Linked DNA regions of Kluyveromyces lactis. The protein of the gene in region 1 purifies or fractionates together with the protein of each later gene. This does not show direct contact. Links are inferred from orthologs where the notes say so. Each region holds a gene or a part of one and is shown on either strand. Other genes may lie near its edges.

Region 1 (2,725 bases):
CAGTAGGAGGCTCAGGATACGATGATGCATGGTGAGACAAGACAACAAGAAAAAGCTACCACAATTATCGTGAAAGGCAACGATTTTTCTATAATTCATTGACGAAACACAAGGCATATATTCCTTAATACTAGCATACTCAAAGGCACTAGCAGCATCTGCTACCATCCAATCTACCACGTCCGTTCAAAAGTTGAACGGTCAAAAATGTTTCAATATCTCTATCTCTATATAGAATGTTTATTTCCATCGAAAGTGTAACTATTAGACAAAGACTGGAAGCTAAGCGTGTTTCTCATGGTTCCATTGGACACAGTCCTCGAACTTTACAAGGGATCCACCAAAAATATCAAGAGCACTACCAAAGGTCAAATCAATTTTGCCATGACTCAATTTCTCTACTAGCCTTAAATCATCCACACTCTTAGCGCCGCCTGCGTATACGATTTTCACTTTTGGAATATCCGCAGTCCATTTGTACAAATGAGCCACTAGCTCTTCATCAATCCCATTACATAGACCCTCTACATCTGCTGCATGAACCAAGAATTCATCGGTATATTGACAAAGATCAGCGAAAGTTCTTTCGTTTAGCTCCAAATCAGTAAGGGTCTGCCATTTATTCATAGCAACGACCCACTTTGGCTCTTGATCCGGTTTCGTGACACGTTTGCATGAGAGATCTACCACTAAACGGTCCTTACCACATATTTCAGCCAATTTCACCAATTTCTCACGTTGGAACTGATATGTACTCTTATCGAAAAGAAAAGACGTTACTATAATCTTGGAAGCATACTTTAACCAGTATCCACAGTTATCCAGGGTGATACCACCACCTACTTGTAAAAAATTAGGACATTCGTTCAATGCTTCTAATGCTGCCTCATCGTTATTGGGACCCAGCTTAATAACGTGACATCCCTCGACCTGATTCTCATGGTATAGCTTCGCATAATGAGAAGGTGGTAATTTCGATACGAAATTCGTAGTAACTTTATCTTTGGACGAATCAGTAAGCGTACCACCCACGATTTGTTTCACCTGCCCATCGTGCAAATCAATGCACCCGACAAACTTAGTCATTGTAGCCTGGTGTACTTTGCTTACGTGCTTTACATCAGTTGACTCTTGGTCTTGCCCAGGTAATTCTTGATATCCATTGAATAAAAAAGCACGGTGAAAAATTTCGATGCGCGATGAGCTCTACATGGTCATCACATGAACAGCACCAGATGCAAATAACTCGACCCAAACAAGATATCGCAGGCTCCAACAACATGGACGACGAGTATATGAAACAGCTAGAAGCTCAGCGTCTTGCCTTTGAGGCACAGTTTGGGACTCTGGAGAGCATGGGCTTCGAGGACAAGACCAAGAATGCACATAGCGATGACGATGACGATAATGTTAGTCAGTCTGAATCAGAGGACGAGAAGGAAAGTGAGTCTGCATCTGGTTCTGACACATCGTTCTATGGGTTCGACGAGATAGAGGAGTCAGATCTTGAAGAAGACTTGCCTGAAAAGAAGCAACCCGTCAGACAACCAAGAGTGGTTAAATTCCAAGAAGAACAAAACGAATACAAACCTAGCAAGAAAGAACAAAGGTTAATACGAAGCGGGAAGGCCCCAACGGTACGAGCCTTAGAGACAGCGGGTCAGAATGCAGCTGCAGATTCTGACTCGGATTCTGATCAGGAGAGAGACAACCTACGAAACGATATAGAATTACAACGGTTCCTAAAGGAATCGCATCTCATCAGTGCGTTCCAAACTGACAAAGATACAATACACGATTCCGAATTGCACGGCAAGGCTCGTGCCAGAACCCTAGAGACAAGACTTCAATCGCTGTCCCAGATCAACGCGGTGCAGCACAAGAACCTCGAATCGATGCCCATGAACATACGGAAGGGTATGATCAAGAAGCATACGGGACGTATCACTAAATACGAACAAGAAGCACGTGACGCAGGAACGGTGTTGTCACGTGTATCACGCGGAGAGTTCCGTCGCATCGAGTCCACATACAAGAACGACATCGAGAGACGTATTGGACGTGGGAAGCTAAAAAAGAGATCGGGTGCCATTAGAGACTTCGGATTGAAGGTACAGAGCGTGGGTCATAGCACTCGTAACGGATTGAAGTTGAGTGCTGCGGATATCGCCAAAATAAAGGGAGCAAGTGAAACGACGTGGCTTGCACGTGCTGACAAGAATTGAGATCGGGATTATTATATAATTTACAAGCTGCATATATAAACGGCACCGCACGTGCGGTACCAGCTATTCAATCATTCATTCAATCAATCAATCAAATACAGAATTGTGGAGTCTCTGAAGGGGCCTCTAAGGGCCCCTTCTGTGATCTCCAATTGAATCAACAAGCAATCATTTCACAAATCACCTACTTACTCACGATTTGCCTAGAACCCAGCTTCATGTAATCATGTAATCGGAAATTTCAGACCGTATTTTATCCCTCGAGCCAATTCCAATAGCATTCAGCTTAGATATTGCCAGAGACAGGCCAAGTAAGAATAAATGTAGTCATCGCGAGTTGACAAAAGGGAACATATATATATGTCCCACGTGGTGTTACCCGGACCCCAAACAAGCAACGGACGTCAGTTTTAAAATGCATACTCTGGATTGTAACCACCCCGTTAAACGTTGGGAATTGGCCAGCCCAATTCCCAGAGAGGGCTGCTAGAGTGCTATCC
Region 2 (3,121 bases), on another chromosome or scaffold:
AGGATGATCTTCAGAAGGAACTGGTTGAAGACATGTCCCAGCTAGTTTCAGGCTTAAGACAAGGTGCGGAAGCTTTCCAGAATGCTATCGAACACGACTCTACTGTTCTTAAGGCAGCAGAAATCGGATTGCATGTTACTTCTAAGAGCCTTTCTTCACTCGGATCCAGATTGAAAAAGTATCACAATGAAAAAATTGGATTTTTAATGAAGTTAGGACTTTTATCGTTTATTATAATTGGTCTATTGGTCACCTATCTTGTAATAAAAGTATTTCCAGATTTATGAGTGTCTTCCGCTAAAATCTCCAAGATTTAGATAAAGGCTCTGCTTCACTCAAAAGCTTCAAAGTACAAAATAGACTCATGAATATTCGATGAAATTAATTGATACCGTTTCCACTTATCGAATAGATTGATTCTATTGATTGTCTTATCTATAATTGCATATTATACACTTGTTTAAAATTGACAGGCACTTATATTGTTATAGGACTATTGACTACAGAACATCAAACATTAAATCAGCTTTATTACCAACATCACTGACAAATTCTCTACTATCACCGGCTAATAATTCTCTTCTGATTTCAGGTCCAATTTCTTTGTGACCTCTTTGACGAACAGTTTCAAGTAGGAAATCTCTTTGATCTTGGGTAATATCATTCTTATAACGTTGAGCAAACGCTAAGAAAGCTTTATGCCATACCACAGGTAAGACTCTGACGGCATCTTGGCCTGTACTTCCATCAGTGACTTCTCTGAATCTCATGAAGTAGAAGACACATTCGTCAACAGTTTGATAAGGCAAAGCATACTTCTTCTCGAGTAGAATTTTGATGAAAACGGTGGTGGCTGGGGAAAAAGGTAATCTTAAAAGGTAGGACAATGCTGCAGCAGAATGAAGAGCTGGCACAGAGACCTTGGATAACACACTTGCAGCAATGGTAGCTTCTCTAACATTACAACCGGATTCCACAAGTGGGAATAAGAACCCTTTGAAAAAGGCAGCCGGTTTATACAATGATTTCTTTAATGCACGGTAGACATGGTAATTTAAGTTGTGATCTTCGTTAAATTCAATTTCTTCTCTGAAGCGTGGTAACAACACAGCTATAACGAATTTTTGGGCCTCTTTAGATGATAAGTTAGAAACAAAAAGTTTAGTACCTTCGTATATAGCATGCGGAGACCATTCCTCTGGATTAGTAACATAGAGAACATCTTGCCAGTTATTTAGAGAAGGCAAAACTTTGAATAGTTTGGGTAGTTTACCATGTCTCCAGGTCTGCATAATGGTACCAACGGCAAGGTATGCTTGAATCACCTTGGGTGGTAAGGCGACACCTTCTGTACGATCTACAGGTGCAGCTGGTTCCGCTACTGCAGAGGCATCACCTGCTTCTTCTTCATTATACTGTAGTTCCATCTCTTTTTCTCTAATAGAAGCCATAATCTTATCGGCAAGGTTATATGATCCATTGGCAGAGTTGAAATCAGCAGAAGTCTTGAAATATTGGTCAAACATTTCAGCATCTTCTTCGTCAATTTCTACCACTTCTTCCTCCTCGTATCCTTCGAAATCGTCTTCATCTTCCGGTTCAAAGTCAGATATGTTATTACCTTGAGCTTCCTCTTCCTCAGCTACATCATCTTCATCCGCATAGTTGGCCACACAGAATCTGTTTATTCCTTGGCTGGATGTCTGCAGAGACTGCTCGTCCTCTTCCTCTAATTCTTCCTGCTGTTCCCTAGCTAATTGCAAAATTTTTCTAGATTGCTGGGCATCGACAAATTCTTCATCTTCATGGCCTTTTTGATCCTTAGCATCGATCTTTTTCTTACCTTGTCTTTTCAACTTACCATGTTGAGAGTCAAGATCGTTCAATAAAGGATCGTGTCTCTGTTTACGACCGCTGCCACCCATTACTTTACCCATTTTCTCCGTAGAACAAATAAATCTTGTATCACTAGTCGTATTCTGAGCACTAAAGCAGACACTAATGAGTAATTTTGTGATTGTTATCTGCCATTTACCTCATCTCATCTCATCTCATCTCATCTCATCGCTTCTCATCTCATCGTTACTTATTCAAATCCCAAAAATTTTCAGTCAATGCACGGACAGAAAAAGAAAGGCTAGAGATACTCTGTTTAGAGAAGTCAAAGGTTCAATTAAATAACTCTGGAGCATTGGCAGCGGGATCGTCGTGATTGAAACAGATATGCCACAGCGTTGAACACAAATTCAAGCTACTGTAAACAGCCAAGAGCTATGTTCTTCTAATGATTACAGGCAAAGAATGTTGTTTGTTTTGCACGTGACTTTAAAATCTGGAAAGATTTTTCAACTGCAGCTTAGATTCGTTTTACGTATATATAATTAACAATGGATCAAGTGTAATGTGATCTCATATGCGTGGTGACACATTGCTGGTCTCTTGTTCACTCAAGCTTCTCCCTTGAGTTGTACTTATCGATTGATCAAAAACCAAGTGTTCATTTCCGTTTTTTTCGTTCCTTGCAATCTTAGCAAAGTTACAATTAACATTAGACTAGGCCCTTCCAATTAATCTTTTAATTGACCACCAGTTACTGAAGAAATCATGTCTAAAAGATCTTCTAGTGTAGCGAACACTCCAGTTAAAAGGAAGCATTTACACTCTACTTTGAATCATAAGTTTGTTAGCATCAATTCTCAAGATGATTATAAACATTTGTATAGATCTGTTGTTCCACTTGACATTTTTGTATGGGGAACTGGATCAATGTGTGAACTAGGCTTGGGTCCTCTAGCTAAAAACAAAGAAGTTAAGAGACCTAGACTCAATCCCCTTTTGCCCCGTGATGAGGCTAAAATTGTGTCTTTTGCTGCAGGTGGAATGCACACCCTAGCGCTAGACGCTGACAATAACATCTGGTCGTGGGGGACTAACGACTCAGGTGCTTTGGGTAGAGACACTAGCGGAGCTGTAGAAAAATTGAAAGATATGGATGCAAATGATAGTGATGATGATGAAGATGGTGACCTCAACGAAATTGAATCCACTCCAACTAAAATTCCTAGAGACTCTTTACCATTGGACGAATTAAGATGTGTACAGATTGCTGCCACAGACAATC

The links.
Region 2: the proteins of FAF1 (region 1) and ENP1 purify together in Saccharomyces cerevisiae (affinity purification with mass spectrometry; 4 studies listed by BioGRID). This does not show direct contact. The link is inferred for Kluyveromyces lactis from reciprocal best matches to the Saccharomyces cerevisiae genes FAF1 and ENP1.

Annotation. Positions count from the first base shown.
Region 1 is NC_006040.1:1,360,119-1,362,843, reverse strand, and holds FAF1 (Faf1p), read left to right. Parts: upstream 1-1,199; coding exon 1,200-2,225; downstream 2,226-2,725. Other genes in the region: DNA-directed RNA polymerase II core subunit RPB3, read left to right, coding at 1-35; 1-(5-phosphoribosyl)-5- ((5-phosphoribosylamino)methylideneamino)imidazole-4-carboxamide isomerase HIS6, read right to left, coding at 283-1,086. UniProt on the Saccharomyces cerevisiae protein: Required for pre-rRNA processing and 40S ribosomal subunit assembly. Seems to act in the processing of 35S rRNA at the A(0), A(1), and A(2) cleavage sites.
Region 2 is NC_006042.1:637,427-640,547, reverse strand, and holds ENP1 (snoRNA-binding rRNA-processing protein ENP1), read right to left. Parts: upstream 1,938-3,121; coding exon 501-1,937; downstream 1-500. Other genes in the region: SNAP receptor USE1, read left to right, coding at 1-287; SRM1 (Ran guanyl-nucleotide exchange factor), read left to right, coding at 2,605-3,121. UniProt on the Saccharomyces cerevisiae protein: Required for normal export of the pre-40S particles from the nucleus to the cytoplasm.